Linked DNA regions of Ovis aries. The protein of the gene in region 1 purifies or fractionates together with the protein of each later gene. This does not show direct contact. Links are inferred from orthologs where the notes say so. Each region holds a gene or a part of one and is shown on either strand. Other genes may lie near its edges. The genes, in order: RPS6KA3, FGFR2, FGFR1 and CSNK2B.

Region 1 (7,050 bases):
GTGTAGAGTACTTTATTCAGTGTATTTTTAGGTGGTATTCATGTGTTCATTATTATTCTTGTTGATTCAGTGAATATATCTTCATCATGTTTCCATTTTCATTTCATCCGAAGCTCCAGGAAAATCTAACTTGCTAACAATCATTTAAAGCGAGAAGAGACAAAAGCGGGAGCAGCAGCAGGAGCAGCAGCATTATGGGTACCAGCTGGGACAGTGTGTGCTTGCAGGTGCCTCTCAGATATGTGCTACCTGTCACCAGAACTTGTGCTATCAACTTACACCATGGTACCAAATATCTCACTGAGGTCACTTCACAGGGCTGTAGAGGTGATTTTTTTAATACCTCTCCGCTGAGCAAGAGTAGAGCGGCCTACTGGTTCCAAAACTGGTGACTGATTACGGTTTAAAGCAGAGTATGTAGCTGCCATGGCACCCTGAAAACAGGAAAGAAAGGTCACAAATAATGACAGAGGGTAGTCACTTATACACAGAATAGGAAATGAACTTTCCCCAGATAATTTCTTCACATGCAAATTTATATAGATTTTATTAGGCTCATAATTAAAATAATCACACTAGTCAAATCCTCTGATCTAACTAAAATTGAAGAGGCCAATGAGGGAGGTTGAAATTATGGATGAGAGAAGACAGGGGTGGGCTCATAACAACCAGTCCTTACTTTTCTCTGGACTATTCAATTGTTTTTTACCTCTGCAATCTTTTACCATGAGAGTCAGCAAGGAATGCTGTTTTGGAACTTGTGTTTTACCACTGCTGACAACCTCAAAGAGTCTGCTTTGGGTTGTGTGTAAGAAAGAACAAAGAAAAGTCAGGAAGTCCACAAAGCTTATCTGATTAATAAACTCAGAAATCATTCCTGAACTAGCTTTAGGATGGTATTTTGGCACGCCTTGGCTTTTTCTTTTTTAAATCACCCACTGTATGAGAATCTCACCTGAGAAGTGGATGCGTGTTGAGAGGCAGTGAAAGGGCAAGGTGCTGTGGTACAGAGACGGCATCTCAGTCTCCCCTGGAGGGCATGTGGCATGCATGCCCCAGTGGGCTGCTCACCTTGACCAGATGTGGTGCATCCTGTCTGTTGAGTTGGTATTGCGGCAGTTGGTCCCAGTGGACAATCCAAGGATGTCTGAGCACAAGGGCAGCGGTCAGTCTCTGGTGAGGGTCCACATGAAGCATCTTTGACACCAGGTCCTGTAGTGGGAAAAAGAATAAAACAAGCTTAAACCTGTTATTTGTTTTCCTATAGCACCTGATACTGTGTAGTATTCTTCCTTGGTTTCCATGACACTATTCTTTCTGAGTAGCAGACCTTTGGGTACAAAGCAATTTGGTCAATATGACAATGTTTAAAAAAAAAAAAAGTAAAAACTTAAGTCTTTGTTTTCTCCTCCCTGAGTTAACAATAATTCTGGTGCATTGCAAAGGGTAAATTTACCACATTTTATGTATATTTAAGGACTTTGGCTCTTTTTTCTCTCATATATTCTGATTTTCTCTACATTTTCATTGGTTTATTTCTAAGTAACTTTCAGCTACTTAAGATTTTTTTTGTACTACTGGTAAAACTGAAAAGCAGGATACAACTGTCTAATAACAGGAATTAATTGGAGTGTTCTAAATGCTCCCTCCAAAGATTACAGAGTTATTTTTACTTTTTTCTACTTCTCAATTTTGTGGGTATTCAGCATATTACATTATACTTATAATCACAAGTATTAACTGGAAAAATTAGCAAAACTTATTAGTAATCATGTGGCATTCATAAAATAGGCTGTGCACTAGATGTAATTTTTTTTGCATTATTTGTATCTCATCCTCACCTGCCTTTCACTCAAAAAAAATCATAAAATGCAAGTGAATGAGAACCAAATTATAAAAATCATAGAGATAAGCTAGACTTGCTTTAACTTATTAAAAAACCAGGCAATGTATAAACTATGGTACTTTCTGTGGTAACATTACTTGATACGCCTGACAACCAATTGTGACCAAGTTTGCAGTCGATCCCAATGGTTAAAAATTACTACTCCACAGTGACCTTGAAAAAGGAAAATCTGACCACTACAATGCTTAGTATTTTTCAGCAGCTCCCCAGTAATTAGAGAAAATCCCAAATCCTGAGCATGACTGACAAAACCTTTCATAACTGTGGTTCATCAGTGACCCTGTTACATGTACCTTGTAGTGGTCACATCAAACTCTGTGCACCACCCTGGAGGTACTGTGCCATTCCCATGCCATCATGACCACGCATGGGCTGCTCCCTCAGCCTGGGATGGACTACATCCTTCTGCTTCCCAAAGCTGTCTGGCCAATCCCTTCAATGCTTCTGGAAAGCCTTCCATGAAACCTTTCTGATCAAACATCATCTGTGAACTTCTTTAGCACAGTAAGCAGAGCACTGTAAAAGCACATGTGACACTGAACTGTATATTTCTGGCCATCTCACAACTAGCCTGAGAGCTCTCTGAGATCAGGAATTCCATCTGAGTCCCATCTTTTATCCCTGGCACTTTCACTTATTAAGCACAATGCAGGTGCTCAATACATGAATTTTAAAAAAGCAAAAAGTACCAAGAAAAATGAATTACCTGGTTTAAGAAATTTTATTGTTAAACAAAGGGAAAAGCTAACATATCATTTTAAATACAGTTATAATACTAAATATTATCCACACAGATATTAAACTAGTCAACTGAGGCTTCATATCGATGCCAAAATTATCTACAGAAATTTCTGACATATCCTATTTACTAATGCAATCATTTCAAGTCAAGCATCCACCTCTAAGAAAAAGGAGTGAGCACTTTTTACCAATAGTATCTCCCTCATCTCCTCTATGTTTTTCTTATTTTGAAATGGAAAACTTTGCTCTTCTTTTCAAACAGAATTTTCTTCAAATGAACTGAAAGTGAAACTAGAGGAGAGTTAGAAGGCAGATCAATGCTATTCAGGGGATGGCGAGTCTGCTAGCAAGAAAGGCATTTCAAATGGATTTCAAGTAGACACTATAAAGCTAAACTACTATTTATTGAGAAAAAGATAGACCCCTTTCTTCATAATATGGACCAAAAACAGAACACAGTACAGTTATTCTAGGGAACAAGGACTTTGGAATTGGCTGTTTCTTTTGAAGCACCTACTCATGCCTGCTGTGGAGAAGTTCACACTAAAATTCTGGGCTTTGGTTTCCTACTGGGAAATGGTGACACTACTAGCTATTCTACAGTGTTGTTAGGAGGATTAAAGGGGATAATCTAGGTGAAGTGCAGTGTGAGGCACAGAGGAAACACACAGATCATCATGAGAGCCTGGGATGGACTACATCCTTCTGCTTCCCAAAGCTGCCCGGCCAATTCCACCGTAAGCATTATTCATCATGTTCATTAGTAAGAAGTACCATGAAATAGATAGATAGATAGATAGACAGATAGATAGATAGGCCAAACCAATCTATTCTGGAAAAGAAACAACATAAGTGGTCAATTTTTGAGTCTGAGGTATTTGGCAACATCATTTCAATACTGCTCTATCAACAAGTTTCTAACTGATATTTTTTCTCACTAGGGATTATGAAAAATTATTTTCTCAAAAGCTTTAATAGGAAGCCATACTTACCTTTGCTGTGTCTGAAACAGAATTCCAGTAGCCACCACTGAGTGAGAATTTTCCACTGCCTATTCGAGCCAGTATTTCCTCTGGTGTATCATCAGGACCATTTGCAAATGGAGTGTAACTAATTTATAACAGAATAACATGCTAATGAATAAAGTTTCTTTTTTGGTTGGTAATTTTCATATTTATTTGCAATATCCAAAAGTACTCTAAGTAGTTCATTTAATGTTACACCTCATCAAAATCTACTTAAGTAAAAATTAACAACAATATGAAGCTTCATAAAGTACCAGGTCAAGGTATAGGTTATGAAATATTAATTTAAATTTAATATACAATAATATAATTAAGACATGACATACTATAGAATAATAAATTTAAAATAGTATATGTTTATGACACAGAGTACAAAAATGATATAAAAAAATCAACTCATAACCTGAAGAACTTAATAATAGTACATTACAGAAAATAATAATACAGGTATAACAGTGATACACACATATACACACAGAATTGTATTATTAAACAACAAGAGAAACTATGGGAAGAAAGTATTATAAGAGATTAAAAAATAAATCTAGATAATGTAACCAAAATTATCGATGAATAAATGCTTACAACATACGGTACACACTCACCCAGTAAGCATTGTGTAGAGGAGGACACCAAGACTCCATATGTCACAAGCAGCATCATAGCCTTGTCGTTTTAAAACCTAGAAAAAGTAAAAATTAGTATCAACACACTGTTTTTTATTATACAGATTTGGATAGGCGTGAACTAAATTATGTCTCCTAAATCAATGCATACAAGAAAAATAGCATGATTAACAAACAAGGCAATATAGTAATACTACTTCTAGAAACTTCTACTAATACTTTATATAAATTTAAATTCTGATATTCATCTTAATTTATCAAACGCTGCTGTGGCACACAGAGGACTATAAAAATAAACTGAAGGTAAATTTCTCATTTAAATGTATTTATATTTTGTAAGGGGCTGCAGAAATAATTAACAAAACAAAGAAAATATAACAGTATAAATGGTATAGGGCAAAATTGTACTTTTATATATATACTCAAGATTTAATCATCACTATTATCAGGCATAAACTGTGACAAATACAAAACAACTGTTTTCTCTAAGAAAATCAGAATCTTGCAAAGGAAATAAACATATATGTAGTTAATTCAACATGATAAGTTTTCTAACAAAAATATGTTTTAAGGATATGGGTATAAAGATGAAGAAGCAATTCACTCTTGATAGGGGAGAGAGGGAAGAAGGCTCGGAGGCAACCTGCTTGTATTGGGCCGATAAGGAAGAATTCAGGAGGCGAAATCAAGACGTGGGAGAGAGCAGGGGCAAGAGAGCAGAGCCTGCTTAGCGACATGTAAGTTCAGTGTGGCCAGATTTCCACACAGGGGATTCTATAGAGAGACTGAAGCGGTTTTTAAAGGTTTTTTAAATTATTTGTTTGGCCACACCACGTGGCTTCTGGGATCTTAGTTCCCCAACCAGAGATCGAACCTGGGCCCCAACAGTGAAAACACCAAGTCCTAACTACTGGCCCACCAGGAAATACCTTGGAAAGCTTTTTATAAACATCTTGTTAAGGAATCTAGGTGTTTTTTTTCCCCCTGCAGGCAATCAGATGTCATTGAAGCATTAAAGAGGAAAATAAAATAAGTGGATGTGTATACCAGAAAGATAACTCAAGGTATAGAGAAAATGCTGGCAAGAAGAGAGAATGGACACAAGGCCACCTCATTGGAGGCAATTTGTAGCAAACTAAGTGAAAGGCTGTGAGGATCTGTACTAAAACAGGACATGAAGAGGAAAAGACATAAAGATAAAATGGGAAGGACTCAGTAAAGACTGGATATACAGCGTAAGGGAAAAAAGGTCTAAAATATTTAGGAATCAGAAAGGAAAGGATCTGGTGATCCACTGAATGTGGAGAAATAATACAGGAGGAGGATTTTGGGAAGAGTTAAGAGGTCAGTCTAAGGACAGTTTGATCATAGAAGATTTCCTGAAGGTGAATTTAGAGGCAGGATCTGAAGCAAAAAAAAAAAACATTCCAATGTGCCAAGACATAAAAGCTACATGGTGATTCCAAGAAGCAGACTGCTTATATGAAGTAGGAAACAATCCTGAGGAAAAATGAGATGGCTGGATTAGGGGGTCATGCTTGGACACCAGTTTGTGTCAGAGGCTGTGGATATGTCAACAAATAAAGGAAAAAACCTGTCCCTCATCAGTTCTAGTATCACTGGGAGAACTGAATCAAATAAACTTAAAAAAATTTTTTTTCTATCTAAAAAGTAAAGTTTGGAGAACGGACAAGGGAATCTGAATCTATAATCCAACTAGTCTAACGTTATCAACTATTATCATTTTTGTGAAATATCTAGCACATGGTAAAGCACAAACTTTGTAGCTGGGTTTCTTGGGCTCAAATCTAGATCTGATCTCAGGCAAATGGCATCACCCCTCACTGTGCACCCTGTTTCCTGTAAAATGCAAATAAAATTACTCAGCTCACATAGTTATAATGAGAACAAATTATTATACCCAAATTAAAGCTGAGAGGATGAAATCTGTTAACATATGTGCCTGACATGCAAGCCTTATATTAGGATTAACTATTATTTTTTATTATCTTGCTTCTAGTTTTAATTTTTTACATAGTGATAATCCAAAGCCAAGAAATTTTGAGGGCAAAACATTGGATTTTAGAGATGCTATAATGGGGAACTGCAATTTCTTAGGAAAAGCAGCAACCTGATCAAAGCAGTGCTTGAGGAAGACTTCAGCAACTTTGCAACATCTTTGTGGACTGATCAGACAATGACAAAAGGGAACGCCATGCACCTAGGCTGTGGCAGTCACCTGGGGCTGTGGTGAAGGAAGCAGGGGCTAGGAAGGCAGGTCTGTGAACAGAAGAAGCCCAAACTGGTTGTAGGGGATAACAGAGATGCTAACTGGTTACAAAGCTAAAGACAAGAAAAGACCATGATGTTTTAGCTTTAGAAATACAGGAAGATGGTGACAAAAATCAGGAAATTCGAAGAGTATCAGGAAAGAATTTTCCAGGCAAGGATACTGGAGTGGGATGCTGTCTCCTTCTCCAAGGGATCTTCCCGACTCAGGGATCAAACTCAGGTCTCCTGCATTGCAGGCAGACTCTTTATCATCTGAGCTACCAGGGAAGATGGGCAAAACAAAGCAAATGAGTCTTTAAATATACTGAAATATTGCAAGCAAACTCTTTCACAATTACCTCTGGTGCAACAAAATTTGCCGTATAACAAGGAGTCATGAGAAGACCATTTTCTGCTCTTAGCTGTTTAGCAAAGCCAAAATCACAAATGCGAATAGATTCTGGATTGCCAGATTCATCCA
Region 2 (7,050 bases), on another chromosome or scaffold:
CTGTTCAGGCATGGGGGTCCTAGGGAGGCTTGGAGCCTAGAAGGTGGGTCTGCCTCCTGGGGGCCTGGGCACCCCCCACCTTGCCTGGCACTTTTGACTGATGGGAAATCTGCCGGGAAAGAAGCTCCCAAGTGCTCGGGTAGAGACTCAGTTAAGGTGGGTGCTATATTGGCTTGGCTTCTTGAAGGGTGGAGGGTTTGGGAATGTTCTGTAAATTGCATGGATCTGGTATAGGGACCGCTCCCCAGCCAAGCCCTCTCGCTTGTCACTTTGCCTGTCTTTGGGGGCAGGCTTGTGCCGAGGTGAAAATGGACAGGGGGGTTGGGGAACGGGTGGCCAGGAAGAGCCATCCATCACTGGGAGGGTGACAACTCCTCCCGCTCCCAAGCGGAGAAGAGAGTTCCCTTTCAAGGGGAAAAATAAACACGCTGGGGCTTTCACTGAGGCTCAGACTCCAGGAAGGATTATGGTATTGAAGGCAGGAAGCTGGGATTGTGGCCGGCAGCGGCACGCTGGGCCTGTGTTCCCAACACTGAGCCTGGGGACCTCATTATCCTGCCCAGGAGGTCCCTCCATACCTTTGTCCACTCGGGTGAGGATTTGTGCGGACCTGCCACCCTCCATCTCCACTTTCCAGAGATTTGGGAAGGAAGGGGGTGGCCGCGGAGCCTGGATCTGGAAATGGCTACATAAGTCAGTTGCTGGTGCAAGCTGATGGGGTGAAGGGATGGCTTGAGATCTCGCTGAGGTCACTCACTGTCCGCCTCTCCCTGCAAAGGAAGCTCCTTCAGGCTAGGACAGGTAGGTGAGGGGGCTGGGGAAGCAGTCTGGGGCCCACTCTCTTGCTGGGATTTTCCTGGAGTTGTGTTAGAGGCAAAAAAATTCCCATGCATTCTGGAAATGCTTCGTAAATCAGTGAGAATGTTTGTGTATTCTCCTCCCACGTGTATGTAGAAATAGATATGGACTTATCTTTTGAGGCTCTTACCTCAAAGAGGAAAGAAAAACTGGCCAAAGAAATCCTTCAAGCAATCTGAAAGCACGGGGTGGACGCACGCGCTCTTCTTTTGCTGTGAATCACACCATTTCACGTGTGCTTTCTTTTGAAGAAGAGGCTTTCTTTTTTCCTCCTCTGAAAGTGGAGCAGCGTCCTCTTTTCCCCTTGCTCACTCTAATCCTTAGTCAAGGCTGAAAGTTTATTCTGATGTAGCTTTGGGGACGCTCAAGCAGTATTGAAATCCCAAGTCATAATCTGAAACATGAAGTCCGCAAGCAGAAAGCGTGGGGTTTCGAGATTTGTATATTAAAGGTCTCACCTCCACCCTCAATCCTATAAAATGTGGTTCTTTCATATGTAATTCACAGAATCTGTGATTGGATCAAATTCTCTGAAGCTTGTGCATTTTGGTTCTTATTCTTAGTAATTGATACTGAACAAATGTAAAGTCTTGGATTATCTTAAGCTTGGAAATTTCTCTTTGCTTTTGAATTAAATGGGTGAGCAGACTAGTACATTGAACACCCCCTGGTAACTTCTGTTCTGAAATTTTAGTCAGTAAGTTAGCATATTGAAAGTTATTGGCCCAATCACCTACCCTGAGAGTAATTTACATATCATCATCACCATCATCATCATTAATGAACACCCGTGTTATTCAAAGGAGTTTGCATCTGCTCTGTTTCTTAATGCACTCTGTCTAGTTTGAAGACACGCACTAGGCCTGGGCTGCCATTCGTCACAGTGGAATGGGATTCAAGCTTTGAACCTCTTTTTGGATCAGCTGCTTTGAATGTATTGCAGTCTCGTTCATTCTTTGTAAGTGTCTGCTTGGCGAAAAGATTGAAATACATTTCTGCATTTGAAAATGAATCTTGACAAGTGTAAACTGGTGGGAATTTTTGGTCGCCTTCCTGGGGTTCTTTTTATTTTGCTGGTCTCCCTTCCTCCCGAGGGCTCCAGGGAGGGTGGAGCAAGCCACTTAGCTCCAACCCCCAGAAGCAGACACCTCTGAAGCCCAGTTGGTGTGAAAGAAGTTAACAAGAGGCTGGCTATGCCAGCCGGAGCATCGTTAACTTGGCTTTTGTAGTTGCCCTTGAAACTAAGGTCACGTAGCTTTGGCTTTTGGAGGGCGGGAGAGGTGACAGTGGGTAGGAGGAGAGAGTCCGCTTGCCCAGCTGAAGTGGCTGCACGTATCTGGGTCCTGTAGCTACTCTTTTTATCTCTGTTTCCTAAGAGTAGGCTTTCTCAACCGTCAGCCTAACACGTTTTTGTGGACCGGTCTGGTGGAAACCCCTGGGACTCAGGTGCGGATGGAAGGTATTTGCAGATGATGAAAGAGAACTGGGTTGAACTAAATTGGTATTGGGGAAGATTTCACTGACTTGCAGTGTCTCTCTCCTCTAGAGGTTGCAGCAGCAGCAGCAGCGGCAAGGCCAGCGAGCGGCTGCCGCAGCACCTTGATTCCTGAGCCCACCGCCGGCTGAAGGCATTGCTGCAGGCAGTCCATGCTCGTAGAGGAAGGGTGCAGATGGGATTAACGTCCACATGGAGATATGGAAGAGGACAGGGGATCGGCACTGTAACCATGGTCAGCTGGGGTCGCTTCCTCTGCCTGGTTGTGGTCACCATGGCAACCTTGTCCCTGGCCCGGCCCTCCTTCAATTTAGTTGACGATACCACGGTTGAGCCGGAAGGTAAGTTATCTCATTTCGCTCTCAGGGTACCAAGTTTGGGGATTTGTCTGGGGGAAGTGGCAGTGAGGTCAAGGCCTGTTTGAGAATCAGCTGCCCCTTGCGTTGTAAAGGAGACCTCTAAGAGCGGAGCTTGTGGCTCTCTGCCCCCTGCAAGCCAGGGATTACAAGAGAAGGTTCTCAGCTGTCACGCTGAGGGCAGGGTGGTGTAGTTCGGTGGTTTCTTGGCGTGTGCGTTTTTCTCTGTGCTGGGTAAGGGAGGCGGCTGGCAGTTCATCCAGTGCCAGGAGAGCCGTGGCAGGCAGCTCAGAGTTGAATGCCATCTACCACTCCCTGCTTACCCGAGAGAGTCTTGCTCACAATGTAAAGGATTGCAGTTTGCCGGCAAAAGGAGTCATGCAGGGAAATTGCCAACCTCTGAAATGCTGACATTTTATTTTCATTGTCTAAGGAGAGAAAGCTTCTGAACTTCAGCGTGGAGAGGGTTGAGACATTACATTCTTTTTAGCCCTTGTAATTCATAATACTTAAGCCACACGTCACAGAGCAGCAGATTCTATTTTAGGTCAATTTGAAATGTACCTGGGCCTTTCCCGAATCTCTGAGAACTTCCAGATCTAACAGGGTGTGCGTTGGTGTTTCAGCTGTGGAAATTGCACGCAGGCAACACATTATGCATTTTGGAACATGCAGAAAGGCATGAGGCCAGTTGTGAGCACAAAACTCACAAGGGCTGAATTTTCCCGCCAGGCAGACTTGGAACCTCTTCTCCTGGGTCCTTCCGCGACGTCGGTAGCCCAGCCTCAACTTGGTGCCGCACGAGATCTGTCATCAGTAGGGAATATTGGTAGCTGAGTTATTTTTCGAGTGGTAATCCGAGAATAAAACGGCAGATCCTAGCACTCATCGCCACTTAATGAACCTGTTTGCTGAGAGCCCACCTGGTGCCTGCTGAGCTCTGGGGGCCTGCGTGGGCTGGGGTCGGTCAGCTGTTCTGGAAAAGACCCTGCTCGGAAGAAGACCGCAAGCCTGTCCAGGACCAGACCGGGAGGGGAGGGCTGTGTCCTCATCCGAGGGGGGCTCCCACTGAGACCCTGAGTCATGCAAGGATAAAGGCATATCTTTTTTTTTCTAAAATGGAGGCGCTTCTTACTAGAAGCAGCTCAGCAGTTGCGAGTGGAAGCTTGTGCCCTTTTTCTTACCTAGAGGTATGGAGGTTTGTAGTAAACAGGTGTAGTGACGCTGCAGTGGCTTCCAAGTCTCCGGTAGGGAACCTGGTAGGAGTTTGCGTCTGAAGTGTTCACAGGCTCTGGCTCCAGGGATTATGGAACTGCCTCCTGGTGACATGAGCTCCAATGTCACTTGCAATGGGGATGCATGTTTAAAGGGCTTAACTTGAGGGAAAAGGTTCCCAGTTTCTGAAAGTCATGCCTGTACGTCTTTAATTTTGCTAATAATTAAAATGGATGTTTCTCTAATTGCCGGTTTTCCCTGGGGTGCATGGCTCAGTACACACACTGAGGCTGCTGAACAGGAGGGTTTCCTGCAGTGTGAGCCCAGGAATGGCCTAGGTTAGGAAGAAAATGTCATTTCTCATTTCGACTTTCAGGGCAGCGTGATTGGGAGTTTATTTCAACATAAAGTGTAAAATGGTCCTGGAGGACTTCTTTTTATCGTCTTTAATTATTGAAGGGAATTTAAAAATATATGTGCACATACTGGTAGGAAGAGGTGAGGCAGGGATGGGGAGGGGGTGGAGACGGACGAGGACGCAGTACCCCCCGGCAGTTCTTTGTGTAGAAATGTGCATTCAACAATGTGAGTGTTGTTGGAGGCTGGTCTTCCCAGCCTGGCATCTGTGAATGCACTTGGGGGTTGAGGGGAGGTGCCTGAATTCTCTGAAACGGGAGGTCATATTTTGGGGTTCACAGCTCCTATGAGGTTTGCGTCCAGAGTTGTGAGAGGTTTTTTTCAAAGGTTTAGTGGAAGCTGTGCAAAACCCTGGAAAGAGGTGGCTTTGGAAAAAGCACACAACCCCCTGGATCTCAGTTTCCTTTTCTGTCATCTGAGGGCTGGATTAGATAATCTTCAGGGTCTCTTTATTAATGTTAAATGAATATTGATATCTTCAGAAGCCTTCTGATGACCCGCCTCAAAAAGGTTGCTAGGAGATTTAAGTGGGTCTGGACGTAAAACGCAGTTAGCACAGGTCCTGCTGTCTAATGAGTACCTGGGACAAGTTGTTGTCCTTGTTCCTGGTGAGTTGGGCACGCCCATCTTCCCAGTCCCATGGGCTGGCTGTGTCAGTTGCCACAACATCAGGAGACATCTAGGCTTTTGAAGAAAGTTGTTCGCTGATGGAGGAGCAGCTGTGTTGGCTTTCTGTAGGGTCTGCACTTCCCCTGTCGACTGATTTGAGCCCTAAGATGAATTCTTCCAGCGCAGGAGTTTAGCTTTGGTGTCAGAGGCTATTAGGAAGGTAATCTAATTATAGATGAGAAAGAAAAATTTTTAGCAACTGGAAGCAGACTAAGTCGGGCAGCTCCAGTTTAGGCTGTGGTCCTGGCGAATTGGAGAGAGACCGACAGAGTCCCCCATCCATGTGTGTCCATCAGTCGCTATCTGTCCTCCATGGCATGTTTTAACTATAGCTTTGGATAAAGTAAGTTCAGCCTTGACTTTCTATCCTACAGGGCCTTATCTTGGAAGACTTTTTGGCTTGCTAATGCGAAAGCTCAGTTTAGATAAATGTGGCCAGAGAAAAATGTGACTAAGTTCCAGGAAGGGGCCTGAGCCCTCCCTCTAGAGAATCCTTTTCCAATTGTCTCAGCTTTGTACAGTATCATCTCATTGATCATCATCCCATCCCATCCATCATCTATCATCCTGTCATGTATCAACATCATCTCATCTACCATGTATCATGATCATATATCCCGTCACCTGTCATGTATCATTTGTCTTCTGGACACGTTCTGAAGTGGTAGCTGTAGGTTTGGGTCTACTCAACTGACTTCAGAAAATAATCTCTAGAAGACTTTACTTGTTAATATTCCAGACTAAAAAAATGAGTATTTTTGGTTGGTCAGTCATTCTTGTCGGGGACCAGCTGTGCAGGGTTTAAACTCAGTTACTGACTCTAGGCGGCCAGTCCTCAATGCCAAGTACTGTTCTGTTGATTAAAGTTCTAATTATTTATAGTCAAGCTTGATTACCCTGTAGCAGAGAGGACTCTTGCTTTCAAGTTCTTCCTGACATTGTCACCTACTCTGGTTAATTAAGTCGTTGTTGACTTTAACGACATCTTTGTTTACACCAGCCCAGTAGGAGTTAAAATAAAAGGCCTTTTCCAACCCAAAACCTTTAATTACTTTCCCACCCTCCAGAAAGTTTGACGCTGAGAAGTAACAACCTGGGAAGAAAGTAGTTTGCTTTTTTTTTTTTTTTTTTTGCAGTCAGTTTTGGGGCAACCTTCTGAGGTCATGCTGTCCTGAGCTGATGTGAATTGGTCCAAAGTTCAATAGCAGAGAGATGGAGCAGGGGGTCTACATGGAGACTTCCCCACTGTCAGAATTTTCCAGTGTGGGTTAGATCTTTCGTTAGAAGTATTGTAAAGGCCATAATATCAGCCATACGCATTTAATTGCAAGTTAAAAGGAAAAGAAAAAAAAGAATATATCCGCATACCAAGAATGAATGATTTAAAATAATCTTCTGTTTTGTATTATCTGCATCTTTGTTCCTCAATATGAGTGTTAATATTTAAGAGTTGACTGTAACTTGATAGTTAGCTTAGGAACAAGGACTTATTCTTAGTAAATTAAACCAAATGCAGGCTTGTGCAGTTAAATACACAATGAAGTACACATTCTTTATTAGTATATAAAGTATTTCACAATTCATAGACAAAGAGCTGTGTTTAATATTATTTCTAGAGCAAAAATTTAGCAAGCCCAGAGAATTGGTATTTGTATATTTTCTCTACTGGTCCGCTCTCATGCAGATTTGAAGTGTGTGTGTATTTTGCTTTTTATTTTAACCAATTAAAGCACTGAGTGGCGCTAGTGGTAAAGAACCCTCCTCCAATGCAGGAAACATAATGAAACTCCGGTTCGATCCCTCTTTTGGGAAGATCCCCAAGAGCAGGGCCTGGCAACCCACTCTAGTATTCTTGCCTGGAGAATCCCATGAACAGGGGAGCCTGGTGGGCTACAGTCCATGGGGCTGCAAGGAGTCATACACGACTGAAGTGATTTAGCAGGCACACACCTACTAGGTGACTAGCTCCCACTAGGCCATCACTGAAGACTTGTTGCTTTCAAGTCCTTTCCCATTAAGTTGAGGGTGAGAATTCATATA
Region 3 (7,508 bases), on another chromosome or scaffold:
GGGCCTTTTGAGGATCCTCTGAATTTCCAAAAACGTCCACCATAGGATGGCAAGCTCCTATAGAGGAGGGTCTGCATTGGTTTACTCCTTGCTAATACCCTTAGCACCTGACATCTACACAGCGGATGCTGCTGCATTTGGTAACTGGATGAATAAATGAATGAAACAAAGAAGGGCCAACTGGAAAGAAACTGACAGAGCTGCGCTTGCAGAGAAGAGGTTGACAACGCCAGAGAAAATCGTCAGGCACTCCCTGTTAGCCAGCCAAACTCAATTTCAAAGCATACCAACCCGGACATTTTCTAAACATCTTGATTCCTCAGACTTGAGGAAGTAATGCCAAAACTTTAATCCCTTTAGTTGGGAATAAGACTTTTTAACAGAAATGGTTGCTTTTCCCCAAAGTGAGCATTCCCTACTCCGGGCAGAGAGTGGCAGGGCAAATACTCCACAAACATCCGACAACACATCCGCAGCTCGGCTTGCAAAATGTGACTGGGTCCAACAGAAATGCTCATTTAAAAGCTTTGAGTCCTTGTAAAAAAAAAAAAAAAAAAGTACCCAGATGTCCCTGGGAGTGAGGTATGTAAGAAATGAGTAATAAGAAGAGAAACTCTAACTGTCCCACTATAATCTAGGAAGCCTTGCCACTGAAGACAGGATGGCTTGTGGACCACCATACGCTTGGAGGTGTTCACCCAGGTGGGGGCTGTTTTCTTGGAGCCTGAACGTGGCTCCTTGTAACTGCAAGTGGAATGGTGATGAGCAGGGAATTTCTCTCAGGAAGATGCAGCCTTAGGGAGAAAAGCAAGTCTTAGTCCAGGTCCACTTTTTAATCCTCTCTGGAAACCCCAGAATCTTTTCTGAAGCTCTGCATCTGGACTCCCAACAAGTCCTGGGGTTGACTCAGACCTTTTACAAAGCTCCTGGGAAGCCAAATGCGAGACCTGTTTCCCAAGAGGAAATTAAAACTCCTCTCCAGTGAGGTGAGGCCTTTTCAGAGTAAGATGTTTGAGTCACTTACTCTGTCCTTCTCCTCCTGCAGCAACAGGCTGAAACCTTCCTAGGAAGCTCTTAACCACGGCCATTTTGATGAGAGAGATTAAAAAATGGAGGCCTGAAGAAAGTGTTCAGAGGCCACTAAAGGCCCAAGCTCACAGGAGCAAATCTCTTCTTTTAGGACTCGTTTTTTTTTTTTTCCAGGCCCAAACAAACAAAAAGCACTCCCCAAACACCCCCAAACAAACAAAGAGCAGACAACTAAAAGCCAGAGCAGTCCAGCCTGGTCTCCGTGGCTGGAGGCGTCCTCCTCCATTCTCAACTCCATCCTCCTGGCCACTGGAGTCCACAGGAACAAAGCTGGACCAGACCTAAATCTGGAGATGTTCTGATCCTCTCCCCCAGGAGGGGTGGGGCCATAGCACCTTCCAGGCTCCTTCTCTGTGTCTTCTGCTTTTGGCTTCACTTGCTATTCTAAGGGTGCCTAACGGAACTTTCTCACATCCTCCATGGCCAGGAGCCAAGGAAAAGAAGTAAGTACCCAAGGCTCTCTACTTGGGAGCCAAAGAAAACAGTGCCCACTCTGGCCCAAATCCCATTCGTGAAAATGCCTCCCCAACGCGCATTTCTACGGGCACCGTCAGAGCAGACAGCGCGCGGCGTGCACACTGTCCAAGCGGCTCTTCACCCGGATGACCCTGATTAAAAAGCTGACGCTCCGCTATGACTAAGAATAAATGCAACAGATATTTCAACGAGCTCCTCACCCGATTCAGTATGCAACCATCGCAGGCTGGAGCCGAGACCCCGGCAGCTTCCCAGTCCCCAAACACCTGGCATTCCTCGGGGTGGGGGGGGGGGGGGGGGGGGGGGGGGGGGGGGCGGTCCACGGCAGCAGCCCTGGAGGTCTTCCCAGCCATTTGGGGGCGGGGGCGGGGAGGGGGTAGAATACGTAAACAAGTCATTAGGGAGGCAGGCCATCCTCCCTAAGGTCTCTGGGTCTTCCCCACCAACACCACCAAGGGCTTCCCCTGGGTCACTGGAAGGAAGGCTGATGACCCAGGCTTGGGGCGGGGGGGGGCGGGGGGGGTGTAATTAACCAGACGGAGGCACGTCCCAAGGGGCCCTGCTACTTAGCCTTTAAACAAGCCTCAGGGAGGAAACGGGGAGCCCGGGCCAATAGTTCGGGGGTGGGGGGTGGGGGAGGATGGGGAATGGCCACTTTCTGCCCCACAGTCTCAAGGCTAAGGTTGTATAATTTAGACTGTTTTCCAAAAAAAGCGCAGGGCCGGAGGTGCAGAGGATAGAGCGCCATCTGCGGAGGAAACAGTCACCTTAATTACCATGTCTAGAGAAAGTGCGATTTCATTACAGCCTCCGAACGACCGCCCAAAGGAGGAAACCAGAGAAGTGTTTTCAATTTGAAAGAGGCTGGAGAGGAGAGGGTGAGAGACCAACTCTCCCCACCCTCTCGCAACTTTGGAACCAGAAAGCCCTTTCCTGCCTCAAAGGGCAGAACCAAAAACCCTCAACAGGCCAACCCCTTTCAAACCTGCGGCCGGCGCGGACTTGGTAAAACGCCCCACGTTAGCCTCCGGGAGCGGCCGCCCAAAGAAAGAACTCCTTCAAAACACCAAGGGAGCCACAGCCCGGGCCCCCCTCCCACGCCCAAGCCGCTGCGCCCCGGGCTTGCTCCAGGGAGGGTGGAAAAGGGGACGCGTGACGCCACCGCCGGGCGGCCCGAGACCCGGCGGCGGGCTCCGGACAGGGTCAGACACTCCCGCCGCTCCGGCTCTAACTGAAAAGGGAGGAGGCTGCAATGCTCCGGTTCCAGAAACTTCTGTCAGGGCCAGCTCTGGGTCAGACCGGTGGCCAAAGAGGCCACCACTTATCAGAGGAGATATTGTCATCCCCTAAACCTCCTCTCGCCGGCAATGCCCCTTTCCCGCACGAGCCAGAAAGCGCCAGCACAGCCTAAGTACCCTGGCATCCAGGGTAACTTCTCTCCCCCAGTCCCAGCGCCTCGTACCCAAGTCTTAAGAAAAAATCGTAAAGAGCGAGGTGGTGAGGACAAGTTATAGGATCCCTGTTTCGATCCGGGGGAGGGGGCAGGGAGGAACAGGGACGTTCAAGCGGCTGCGGTGTACCCGGGTGGGGTGAAACGGAACCAGATGCGGCGGCTACATCTGGAAAATGGGGCGGGGGTGGGGGGAGTGGTGATGGGGAGGTGGTGGGGAGACACGGCGGAAACTTTGAACAGGGCCAAAGCCTCTGGGTCCAGACAAGAGATGCAGGTTTCACCGCTCCCCAAGCCCTCCACTCCCCAACCAGAGGCATCTGACTGCTTCCATAGGATCTGGGTTAAATGATCGCATCTACAACGTCAATAAATTCCTCTGCAAACGAAGGTTCCAGCCCCCCTCTTCTCCTCACCCCAAACATAGCGGGAAAGGGGAGCGGGAAGGGGGCAGAGGGTTCTGGGCCCGCGAAGCAACAAGCGCCGGTGCCGAGCGAACCGCACCGGACAAAACCCTCATCCCTTCCCCCACCTCCTCGAACCAGATAGGAACTGACCAATCCCTTCCCCCAGACCCCGTAATGGGGCTTAACCTCACCCGCTGGGCGCCCTCCCCTTCCCCAAACTTCCGACCCTTTCAGAGACGGACTAAGTCGGAGATCAGCGCCTCTCGAAAAAGGGAATTCCTTTCTCGCTCTTCGCTGAAGCAGCTTCAGCCATTTGGTGACGACACCCCCCTTTAAAACCGACTGGAAGAGAAGCGAACCGACCCCTCCACTTCCTTCCCCTTTCAGGCCCCCAACCGCCCACCCGCCTGCGGCAGTGACCCCAGACTTTCCCGGAGATGGAAAAGGACTTAGGAGGACCCCGGGTTTTTTCTTTTTTCTTTTTTTTAGCGTTCCACCCAAAGCTACCTGCTGGATCGCGGAGACTCCCCATGGGTGGACTAAAAGGAGATGGTGTGGAACGCAACACACACACACACACACACCCCACCGCGCTGCCCGCCCCCGCCTGCCTCCCCAGGCCCAGGAAACCCAGGACCGCCGCCGCCTCGGCCCCGGGCCCTGTCCCTCCCCGGACTCACCGCGGAGCCGCCGCCGCCTCGCCAGCTCCCCAGCGCGAGTTGGCGGAAAAGTTGGGCGGCGGGACGGGCGCGGGGAGGGGGCGCAGAAGGCGACGCGAGCGGAGGGAAGGGAGGGGAGACAAAAGGGGGGCGCCGGGAGCTGGGCAGGGAGCCGGGGGTGGAGAGGGGCGGGTAACGAGCGGAGGGAGGCGCCGGACCCGACTGCGCTGCGGCGGGGAGAGCGCGCGGCCGGGAGGCTCCGGCGCCGGGGGCCCGCCCGGGACGCGGAGCCCGCCCCGGATCCGGGGGCGCCGCGGCTCTTACCTCACTCGGCGCTGCGGTTCCGCCTCTGGAGAGTCCGCCGTGGCTCGTGCGGGCGGGCGGGCGTCCGCGTCCCTGGCTCCGGCCCGCCGCCCCCGGGCTCCGCTCGGGTCCTGGCGGGGCCGCAGGAGCCCCCGCGGCCGGCGCTCGACTGCCGGTGGCGCTCGGGGCTCGGCGCCTCCAGCCCGGGCGGGAACAATGGAGCCGAAGCTGGTGCCCCGGAGGCGGGGCGGGGGGAGGGCTCCTGTCCGCCGCCCGGGGTCTCCAGACCCTGTGGGCCCCCCCTCTCCAGCACCGGGCGGCGGCCCTCAAGCTTCTGGCAGCCCGAGCTCCATCGCCTGGCGGGGGCCCCGGCGCCGCGGCGTGCCCGACTGCCGCCCTGGTCCCCTGCGCCCGGCGGGGCGCCCCTCGGACCGGAGAAAAGTCCTCGGGCTCCGCCGCTCTTCCAGCTGCGGCGCGCGCTCTCGGCCGGGGAAGGCGAGGTCGCCGCAATGCGCTAAGCGGAGTCTCGGGGCTGTCCGGACGTCGCCGCCCAGCTCTGGGCACAGCCCGGGCTCCTCCGCGCGCTGCGGCTGGACCAGACTTCGGGCTCCCGCGTCGCGCCGCAGCCACAGCCGAGGCCGCCGCGCCAGTGCCCGCAGGAGCGCTCCGAGCGCTATGCGCCGGCAAGGCGCGAGGGCTCCTTCTCTCACTCCCACCCCACGCTGGTCCCACCTCCTCCTCCTCCCCCTGCCGCTGCCTGCTGGGCCTTGTAGTTCTGAGCCGAGGGCCCCCGAGAAGGGGGGAGCGGGTTGAGTCGCCCTGCGCTCTGCTGCTCCTTTGCCTCAGTCTGTCTGGCCTCCTTTGACGCGCGCCCGCCCCTCCAACTGAGCCCCTCCCGGAGGGCGCACGAATTTCGGGCTGTGGACGGATGAGCAGTTGGAGGGATGGAGATGAGACCCTGAAGCCCTCAGGTTGCACACGGTAGCACTTTGGACTCTGACCGAGTGCCCTGGGGAAACGATGTTCTCGCTCTGTATCTCAGTTTTCACATCTGTAAAAGAGGATAGCGAAGAGATCAAACCAGTCAATCCTAAAGGTCAGTTCAGTTCAGTCGCTCAGCCGTGTCCGACTTTTTGCCACCGCATGGACTGTAGCACGCCAGGCTTCCCTGTCCATCATCAACTCCCCGAGCTTGCTCAAACTCATGTCCATCGAGTTGGTGATGCCATCCAACCATCTCATCCTCTGTCGTCCCCTTCTTCTGCCTTCAATCTTTGCCAGCATCAAAGTCTTTTCCAATGACTCAGTTCTTCGCATCAGATGCCCAAAGTATGGGAGCTTCATTTTCAGGATCAGTCCTTCCAGTGAGTATTCAGGACTGATTTCCTTTAGGATAGACTGGTTGGATCTCCTTGCAGTCCAAGGGACTCTCAAGAGTCTTCTCCAACACCGCAGTTCAAAAGCATCAACTCTTCGGTGCTCAGCTTTCTTCATGGTCCAACTCTCACATCCATACATGACTACTGGAAAAACCATAGCTTTGACTAGATGGATCTTTGTTGGCAAAGTAATGTCTCTGCTCTTTTATTTGCTGTCTAGGTTGGTTATAACTTTTCTTCCAAGGAGCAAGCATCTTTTGATTTCATGGCTGCAGTCACCATCTGCAGTAATTTTGGAGCCCAAGAGACCAACCGTAAACATTCATTGGAAGGACTGATGCTGAAGCTCTAATACTTTGGCCACCTGATGCAAAGAGCTGACTCTTTGGAAAAGACCCTGATGCTGGGAAAGATTGAAGACGGGAGGAGAAAGTGGTGACAGAGGATGAGATGGTTGGATGGCATCACTGATTCAGTGGACATGAGTTTGAGCAAACTTTGGAAGATAGTGAAGGAGTGGGAAGCCCCTCGTGCTTGGGGTTGCAAGGAGTCAGAGATGACTTAGCCACTGAACAACAAAAAGGGGAACAATAGCACTTTCCATATACAGTTGAGGATTAAATAAGGGCCTGCCGCAGAGTTACTGAGCAAAGTCAAACTGCTTTTATTCATGAGAAGTTTGATGGCTCCTCAGAAGCTTTGGTTCCATCTCACTTTCCCAAACATATGGCCTAGGTTTTGTGGTCCAGGGGTGCTGAGTCTTGTCAGTTCTGCAGCACCATTCTCCGCCTCCGGAAGTCTTCTGTCTGCAGTGAATGTTTCAGAAGCAAACAGTGAGAGGAGCTGAGAAGTGTTGATTTGGAAATTGATCAAAGCCTACCCAGCACACACTCCAGTACTCGAAGGAACTCGAGGGAAAGTAGCTAAAATGCCCTTTTCCCTGGGTCTTTCTGCAGGCTGGTATAATCTAGTGGTTCCCTGATCCAAATGGACATCAGATCAGTTCAGTTCAGTCTCTCAGTCGTGTCTGACTCTTTGCGACCCCATGAATCGCAACACGCCAGGCCTTCCTGTCCATCACCAACTCCTGGAGTTCACTCAAATCCTTCCCAAAACTTCTGAAAAATATAAATTCATGGACCTGCTCAGACTTGAGAGATCAGGCTGTCCCAGGAAGGAGCAAAGAGCTTATGTTTTTCTGCCGCTCCCATGGTATCAGGTAGGGGACCACTGGCAGGTGAGAAGTATGCCACCCTAGATATGATAGATACCTTCTTTCCGGCCTGCTACTTAAGAACTATTTGATTTTGGACAAGTCATGCATTTGAAAGAAATTGGAAGGAATGATGCTAAAGCTGAAACTCCAATACTTTGGCCACCTCATGCGAAGAGTTGACTCATTGGAAAAGACTCTGATGCTGGGAGGGATTGGGGGCAGGAAGAGAAGGGGATGACAGAGGATGAGATGGCTGAATGGCATCACTGACTCGTGACTTGGTGATGGACGAGGAGGCCTGGCGTGCTGCGATTCATGGGGTGGCAAAGAGTCGGACATGACTGAGCGACTGAACTGAGCTGAACTGAACTGAAGATCTGTTTACGTGTTTTCCCTCAGTTGGCTAGAGCCCCCTCACAAGGTTGTCACCAGAATCAACTAAAATAATGGAATTCAGCGCACGCAAAGTGTTGCTTTTGATATAGATAAAGTTGCTGTGTCAGTTACTGGTAGGGCCTGTTCCCTCAT
Region 4 (7,592 bases), on another chromosome or scaffold:
GTCTCAGCTTCCCCAGGAGGGGGCACATAGACACAAAACAGCAAATTCTGGACCTTGAACCTCTTCTCCCCACCCCTTACAGTTCAGTTTATTTTGGGACCACTTTCTTTATAAAACTCAAAGTGATGTTGATTACATCCCCTAAACAGCCAACTGCAGGCAACACAAAAAGAGCAAATATTTCTCCAGTCTTTGAAATCCGATTTCTGTCTTTGCCTCGTGATCTCCGTACATCCCTACACCCAGTCCTAAAAACATCACCCAAATCTACTGGGTACAAATCTGTGCTGGTTTTCCACTTGAAGAGAGTGGGCTGAGCCAGGAGGGCTCCTGGGGCCCAGCATACCATTACCCGTGCTTCCCCAACCCCAAACACCAGCCAATCAGCCCATGGCCTTTTCTTCCACTTTATTTCATATTCCCACCACAATAATGACTCCTTTAATTTAAACTAAAAACCATAGAGGGTTCCTGAAATTGTGGCAGCAAAGGAATGAAAGTGTCAAAGACCGAGGGACAGGTGGGGTGGGGAATCAGCGAATCGTCTTCACTGGGCTCTTGAAGTTGCTGGCGGCTTGGAGCTGCAGCTGGTAAGCCATTGGATGGATCTTGAAACCGTAAAGCCTGGGTTGGGGCAGAGGTGAGAGAGGAAGCACAGTGAGCCCCATCCTGGCCTGCCAGTGGCCTGCATTCCCCCCTACCCCAGTTTCTTCATGGGCCTGCTCAGTACTTCAAGGCAGCGGTTCCCCAACTTCTCCCTTTAAGAATATTTGGAAATGTATTTTAAATATCTATTAAAACTCAAATTCAAAGCTACAAATATGTGTCTGTACATATATACATGAGTATATACATGGCAGTACTTGTTTTAATATAAAAGCTGAACTTTCTTTTTCTACACCAGAGCAAAAATGATACTGCAGGAAGATCATACACTTCAACCGTGGCTCTGAGAATTTCCTAGCGAAAGTTGAGCACACAAAATGGCAGCAAGGCTAGCTACTGCCTCATCCTCCCTTCTTTCTGGGGGATCCAAGGCACTTCTTTCGACCCTTGGTGACTCTGTCCCTGCTCCCCACCTGGGCACAAACTGGTTGGCGGGCCTCTTGGGCCGGTACTCGGGGTGCACCATGAAGAGCATGTGAGGGAAACCGGTGCCGAAGTAGGCGCCATCCGTGTGGTGGTGCCTCGATGACTTGGGTGTGTACACGTCCATGCACTTGGGGCAGTAGAGCTTCACCATGGCCTCACCTGGGATGTCTGAAAGGCCTGGGAGACAGCCAGACTCAGCAGGCCAGGTTACCCAAGCCTGCCCAACCTCCCTCCTGGACTCAGGCCCCAACCTGCTGAGCCCCAACTCCATCCCAGCCTGCCATGGCCCTCCTTTCCCTTTCCCAACACTCACCGATGGGAAGCATTGGCTGGTTCTCACAGTACACACGGGGACAGTATCCAAAGTCTCCCTGCTGGTACTTTTCCAACTGATGTGAATGAAATTGAAGGAGTTGGTGGGTAGGTATGAAGAAAAGAGGCAACCCCCTCCTCAGCCCAATCCACATCACTGTGTCCCCAACTCCTTCTGCCTCTTAATGTCCAGAGGCCCCTTCTCTGGCTCAGATGGGCCTTCAGACTCCCCTGCTTCCTTTCATCCAGTCAGGCAGTCTGAAGATCATCAGACATTCACTGCTTATTCCCTGAGGAAGAGGCAGTCTACAACTTTCTGCTCTAGGTCACATCTCCCTCCCCCAAAACACTCCCTTCACCTCAACCCTCAATCAGGTCTTAACCCCTAGGCCCAGATTCTGGGGTTCTTTCCCCTCTTCTCAGCTAGATTCCGTGACAAGGCTGAAACGAGTGACTTCTTGCTGATGGAAACTCTGCTTCCCTGTTGCCTCTGAAGGAACCGAGTAGGAGTAGAGAGGCCTCACCATCTGGGCGATGCCACGGTTGGTGAGGATATAGCGGGCGTGGATCAATCCATAGAGCATTTCGGCTGCTTGCTCAATCAGGTCACTCTGGTTGGGGTTGTCTTCCAGCTCCTCATCTGAAACATGGCACCAGCCAAATGCAACCACTTGTCTTACAACTTTTTAAGGTGCCCTGCCTACTCCCAGGGGCTGCTGGCTCTTCAGCCCAGCACCCAACTTGGAGCCTCACCCCACCCACAGCCTGGGCCTCTGCCCCTTCCACCAACCCAAGGGTTTCTTTCCATCCCTCTCAGCCTCTGCTTCCTTCTCTTTTTTAATAAATAAATGCAAAGATGTCAACACAGAAGATAGAACTCTAACCTGGAAGGGGCAAGGAAGAAGATAACACCCATGGAGAAACTAGCATTTTCGATAAGTGCTAAGTTATAGGATCAGAGTATGAGAACAAGTGTAGAAGTCACAAAATTAGGCAAGAGTGAGGTATGGAATCAAAATGAAGTAAAGGATTTGGGGTTAAAAGGGTTAGAGAACCAAAAGGAAATTTAGAAATTCATGAAGCAGATAAACAAGGTGTGAATAGGAAAAAAACAGCACACACACAAAACAACCCTGAGGGTGTCTCACCAGGCTCCAGGTCCAAGATCATGTCTAAAGCTTGTCGATAGTGAGGCACCTGTTCATTGAGTCCAGTGAGATTGAATTTGTCCTGGATATAGTCTTCATCCACCTGTCAGGACGTGAAGTCAAAAGGAAACCCAAAGCAGAATCCTCAGCTTTGACCTGGGCAGGGTGCTCTAACTCGTGCCTTATCTTCAACACAACTGCTTCATTCCCTTTGTTCCACACTCCCAACTCAGCAGAAGTACTTGAACCTCTCTCCCTAGTTCGTGTATACTGCCCACCCAGAAGAGGTCTGGCTTTTTTCTCCTAAACATAAGCAATCCCCTCCTTACAGAGGCAGTCCTTTCAAGATCCCTGTCCTGATTCCTGTTCCTAGCTCTAGGAATCAGTTTTGGCCTCTCCTGAGGGGCAGCTGGCTCTCTGAGGAAGGTGGGGGCTGAACAGCTTGGATTCTGAAGTCAGTTACACTCCCTTATGTTAACACACAGCCATGCTATAAAACATTTTAACGTGAAGTGTTTTAATTCTCCTAATAGCTACCAGAAATACATACTATCAGTACTTCCCTGGTAAAAAAAAAAAAAAAAAAAAAAAACAACACAGGTTGACAAGTCCAACATTAGGCTGTTGGAGGGTGGCAGGGTTGACTTGGGGTCTCAGTCTTGACCCTTCACCACAAGTTAGAGAGCGCTACTAAGGAGACTCCTCCTTGACAAGAGTTTTTACTAAAGTATGTAAGAGAAGTGTGTGGAAGCTTTATGTGCAGGAGATTATGTGGCCAGATTACATGTGGAGGTGGATGGTAGGGTTGAGGAGAACTCACCTCACAGAAGAATTCATTGCCACGGAGCCCACAGAACCAAGAAATCCAGGACACCTCCTCTGAGCTGCTCATCTTCACGTCGGCTAGAGACAGAAGAGTATAAGCCTAAGCTCTCCCTCCCAACCTCTGGTATCCTCACTCCTCCCACACTTTGCCCTCAAACCATGGAAGAATTTGGGGCTACCCTTTTCTTAAAGAACCCGAGACTGGAGCACGTCTCTCTAGCTCCTCTTATTTACATTCCAGCCCCTTTTCACTGAGATTACATAGAGAAATTCTTCGGGGTCCACCAGCTGTGAGAAACCGACAGGTCTTGACCCCACTAGTCCTACCTCCATCCCTGACGCTCCTGAAAGCCAGGCCCCTCTCTCCTCCGTGTCAACTCCGGTAGGGCCGTGGCTCAAGCTCCCTACCCCCGCAAGTCTCTGGCCCCATTCTCAAGGGTTCCGAAGTTTATCCTTTCCAAGCAAGAGCTGGGCCCTCCTTTTCTCATGGCCTATAGGTGGTGGTCAGGTCCGTTTCATAGAAGTCCCGACATCCCGCCTCCACCCTTCGGGCCACCTCTCCTACCCTCGGTGCCGGACCGGGTCATTTCCTTTCCCACCCCCACATCAAGACGCGGAGACCCCATGTGCCGCGCCCAGGGACAGGGGACATGGCGCGGCGACGACCACCACACTCACCGACTGGACGGGGACTGGGACCGGGGGACGGGGAGGGGAAGGGGAGTTTCTGCTTCCAAAGACCGCGACGACGGCTACAACGCAGGCCGCGGACCCGACCGCGGCAGGCGAAGTGGGGTGGGGGGAGTGGAAACTGGGGAGGGTGGGGAAGAGGGCAACGCGCAAGTGCTTAGAGTTAGGAGCCGCGGTGCATGCCGGGAAATGGAGTCCTTGGGAAGAAGAAACTGACGAAACTAGGGAAAAGCGAACTACAAATCCCAGGATGACCCGCGCACGACCCTGGTGTCACGAGGCCCCGGGGGAGGGGTACGCTGGGGGCGGGGCGCAGCAGGGCACTGCGAGCCGCCACCGGAAGCGGAAACTCAGTACCGCGTTCTGGGCCAGGTAGCCTGGGAAATATAGTCGTGTGATTCCGGGGACTGCAGGGCCATGGAGGGGAGGGGGTGGGCCGGGAGAGGAACTAGGCTGGCTGGTTGCTTCTTGCTTCTCCCATCAAACAGCGAGCCTCAGGCCTCGGCGAGACTTTGCTGCCCGGGGCATTGACCTCATCCCCAGCCAGCCAGCCCTCCTGGCCCTTATTGCCTTGCTCCTTGGAGTCAGCCCGCCAAGGAGACCCGCGACGGGGCCCTTGTTTCATCCGGGGTTCGCGCAGCGGAGGCGGGAGGTGAGGCCGGGTTCCATGCTGAGGGTCCTGGGTAGGGTGTACTGGGATGAGCTGAGCGGTGTGAGAACCAGGACGGCCCCGTGGGCTAACCTGAGGTGGTGCCAGCCATTCTGCTGCTTGTCCCCTTGCACTTCTCCATTTCCTCTTAGGGCTTGAACGGGGCTGCTGTGGGCGCTAAATGCGACCTTCGAACCCTGGTCAGAGTAATGGTGAGGGGCTGCGTGACGTTATTTCATTTCAGGGTTTCTGGGCATTCTCCGCCTCAGAGCCTTTTTTAACCCTGAGAGTGATTTCCCAGGTCCAGAAAATGAGCTCGGAGCGGGGGCCACGTTGAGGGAGGAGGCGAAGGGCATTGTGGGGGCGTTATGTAAAAACAGAACCCCAACCGACGGATCTTTCTCAGTCCTCGCGCTGCCCCGGCACGTGGTGCGTTGTGCTTCTGCTATGGAAACATTCCAGGGCGGGAAAAACCCGGCGCTAGCGCGCGCCTGCACCCTCAGGTGTTTTGTTTTGTTTTGTTTTGTTTCCCCGGCCACGCATGCGTCTTTGTGCCCTGTGATTATTTGTCGACTCCTTTGCTTAGAGTAGCGCCATTTTGCAGTACGGAAGCTATAAAGCGACACAGACTGGAACCTCTTCCTGAAAGCTGCTTCCTGCTTCCGGAGACGTGTCGCGTTTGTTTTTGTTTGGGAAGAACTTACCCTGAAATAGGAAGATTTAAAGAGCCAATTTGATTGTTTTTCTTAATGGTATGTTTTACGCTGTGATAAAGTTGTCTCAGAGAGGCTGGTATTGTTGGTGCGGATGGAGGTAGGGGCGGAGCGCACGGTCTGGGCAACTGTCTTACGGAGACTTCTTTCTTACCTTTATTGAGGGGCATTGTCTGTTACTGACCCTACAGGGTCCCAGGTTGTGGGGTCACTTTTGGGTTGGGAGGGGATTTTTGACGCTAAGGATACTTTTTGTTTATCTCATTAGGTGTCTGGAACTGGCTCTGGTCGCTGCAGGACCACCAGGGGCTTGGCTTCCTAGTCTCATTTTCCTAGATTTCCCAAAAGCCATGTCTGGGTCTTCCCTCATTAACTTTACCCCAGCCACTGATTCCAGTGATCTGTGGAAAGATGGGCAGCTGCAATCACAGCCTGAAGAGCTGGAGCCCATCCTGGAGGGGGCTGCAGCCCGGGCTTTTTACGAAGCCTTAATTGAAGATGAGAGCAGCACCCCTGAAACCCAGAGAGCTCAGCCTGGGCCTGCCAGGAAGAGGAAGAAAAGAAGAATGACGAGGGAGACTGCAGCAGGAGCAGCAGGAGGACATGGACAAAGGAGATCCCTTGACACAAAGGACAAGACGACCCAGCAGATACTGAGGGCAGCCCAGGAGGGGGACCTGGCAAAACTAAAAAGGCTGTTGGATCCCCGTGAGGCAGGGGGAGCTGGAGGGAATATCAATGCTCGGGATGCTTTCTGGTGGACCCCTCTGATGTGTGCCGCCCGAGCAGGCCAGGGGGCAGCTGTGCGCTATCTCCTGGGCCGTGGGGCTGCCTGGGTAGGGGTCTGTGAGCTGGGGGGCAGAGATGCTGCTCAGTTGGCTGAAGAAGCAGGTTTCCCTGAGGTGGCCCGCATGGTCAGAGAGAGCCCTGGAGAGACAAGGAGTCCAGAGAACCGGTGAGGGAAGCCTTATCTTTTAATATTGTTTAAACTTTTAAATCTATTTTTGTTTTATTGAAGCATAATTCAAGTATATAAATTACATATGTACAATATAGCAATTCAGGATTTTTTAAAGTGATATTCTGTTTATAGTCATTGTAAAATATCTGCTAAATTTCTGTGTTGTACACACTCTCTGGGTTTAAATCCTGATTGTACTTCTTGGGCAAGCAACCTAGCGTCCATGTGGCTCAGTTTTCCTATCTAAGAAATTAGACTATACTTCTTATAGGGTTGTTAGGGTTAATTAAATGGGTTAATATACATAAAATACTAGAACAGTGCTTGTATTTAATAGCATAGTAAGCACTGTACAAATGTTAACTATAGTAATTATTATTTCCCACCCAAGAACGTTGTGAGGCCTTAACCATTCCTTCAGGTCCACTGTTGCTAACTGGGAAGGAAAGACAATTTGTTTCTTGGCAGAGATACTGGAAGGACCTTGTCCCACCCTGCCACCCACCTCTGAGGCCTAAACCCTTGTGTTACCCTTAACCTTTCTCTTTTTTTCTCTCCAGGTCCCGATCCCCCTCCCCCCAGTACTGTGAGACTTGTGATGCCCACTTTCAAGACTCTAACCACTGTACATCCACTGCTCACCTGCTGTCGCTGTCCCGGGATCTCCGGCCCCCCATCCTACCACTTGGGGTCTCTACCTCCAGCCCAGGCTTCAAGCTGCTGCTGAGGGGGGGCTGGGAGCCTGGAATGGGGCTAGGACCCCGGGGTGAGGGCCGTGCCAACCCTATCCCCACTGTCCTCAAGAGGGACCAGGAGGGGTTAGGCTACAGACCAGCACCTCAGCCCCGAGTTACACATTTCCCAGCTCGGGATATACGGGCAGTGGCTGGGAGGGAGAGAGCCCCTAGGGTGACCACACTGAACCGCAGGGAGGAGAAAAGGCAGGAAGAGAAGGACAAGGCCTGGGAGCGGGATCTGCGGACATACATGAACCTCGAGTTCTGACTTGGGCAAGTTCTGACCTTGGTGTGTTGCTGAAGTCTGAACTTGGGCCCCGAACTTAGACACTTGGGCTTCTACTTCCTGATGTCTGCCCAGGTTCCACACCTTCTGGTTTTGATTAGTGGACTCTGCCTTCAGTAGAAAGAAGCCAAAAGTTGAGAAATAAAATCAAGCTTTTCTCCGTCTTGGTGTTTTATTCA

The links.
Region 2: the proteins of RPS6KA3 (region 1) and FGFR2 purify together in Homo sapiens (affinity purification with mass spectrometry; 3 studies listed by BioGRID and IntAct, counting the BioPlex papers as one, with this or other methods). This does not show direct contact. The link is inferred for Ovis aries from reciprocal best matches to the Homo sapiens genes RPS6KA3 and FGFR2.
Region 3: the proteins of RPS6KA3 (region 1) and FGFR1 purify together in Homo sapiens (affinity purification with mass spectrometry; 4 studies listed by BioGRID and IntAct, with this or other methods). This does not show direct contact. The link is inferred for Ovis aries from reciprocal best matches to the Homo sapiens genes RPS6KA3 and FGFR1.
Region 4: the proteins of RPS6KA3 (region 1) and CSNK2B purify together in Homo sapiens (affinity purification with mass spectrometry; 5 studies listed by BioGRID and IntAct, with this or other methods). This does not show direct contact. The link is inferred for Ovis aries from reciprocal best matches to the Homo sapiens genes RPS6KA3 and CSNK2B.

The regions. Positions count from the first base shown.
Region 1 is NC_056080.1:18,622,336-18,629,385, forward strand, and holds part of RPS6KA3 (ribosomal protein S6 kinase alpha-3), read right to left. Parts: coding exon 6,929-7,050; intron 4,355-6,928; coding exon 4,278-4,354; intron 3,758-4,277; coding exon 3,640-3,757; intron 1,213-3,639; coding exon 1,072-1,212; intron 435-1,071; coding exon 312-434; 3' UTR 1-311. UniProt on the Homo sapiens protein: Serine/threonine-protein kinase that acts downstream of ERK (MAPK1/ERK2 and MAPK3/ERK1) signaling and mediates mitogenic and stress-induced activation of the transcription factors CREB1, ETV1/ER81 and NR4A1/NUR77, regulates translation through RPS6 and EIF4B phosphorylation, and mediates cellular proliferation, survival, and differentiation by modulating mTOR signaling and repressing pro-apoptotic function of BAD and DAPK1.
Region 2 is NC_056075.1:41,082,131-41,089,180, reverse strand, and holds part of FGFR2 (fibroblast growth factor receptor 2), read left to right. Parts: exon of another isoform or gene 1-156; intron 157-1,701; 5' UTR 1,702-1,816; intron 1,817-2,404; 5' UTR 2,405-2,528; coding exon 2,529-2,694; intron 2,695-7,050. UniProt on the Homo sapiens protein: Tyrosine-protein kinase that acts as a cell-surface receptor for fibroblast growth factors and plays an essential role in the regulation of cell proliferation, differentiation, migration and apoptosis, and in the regulation of embryonic development.
Region 3 is NC_056079.1:32,686,403-32,693,910, forward strand, and holds the start of FGFR1 (fibroblast growth factor receptor 1), read right to left. Parts: upstream 4,604-7,508; 5' UTR 4,407-4,603; intron 4,145-4,406; exon of another isoform or gene 4,104-4,144; intron 1-4,103. UniProt on the Homo sapiens protein: Tyrosine-protein kinase that acts as a cell-surface receptor for fibroblast growth factors and plays an essential role in the regulation of embryonic development, cell proliferation, differentiation and migration.
Region 4 is NC_056073.1:26,711,862-26,719,453, forward strand, and holds CSNK2B (casein kinase II subunit beta), read right to left. Parts: upstream 4,181-7,592; 5' UTR 4,056-4,180; intron 3,456-4,055; 5' UTR 3,445-3,455; coding exon 3,373-3,444; exon of another isoform or gene 2,656-3,372; coding exon 2,553-2,655; exon of another isoform or gene 2,045-2,552; coding exon 1,929-2,044; exon of another isoform or gene 1,482-1,928; coding exon 1,406-1,481; exon of another isoform or gene 1,270-1,405; coding exon 1,080-1,269; exon of another isoform or gene 625-1,079; coding exon 534-624; 3' UTR 394-533; downstream 1-393. Other genes in the region: GPANK1 (G patch domain and ankyrin repeat-containing protein 1), read left to right, coding at 5,780-6,384, 6,951-7,395. UniProt on the Homo sapiens protein: Regulatory subunit of casein kinase II/CK2.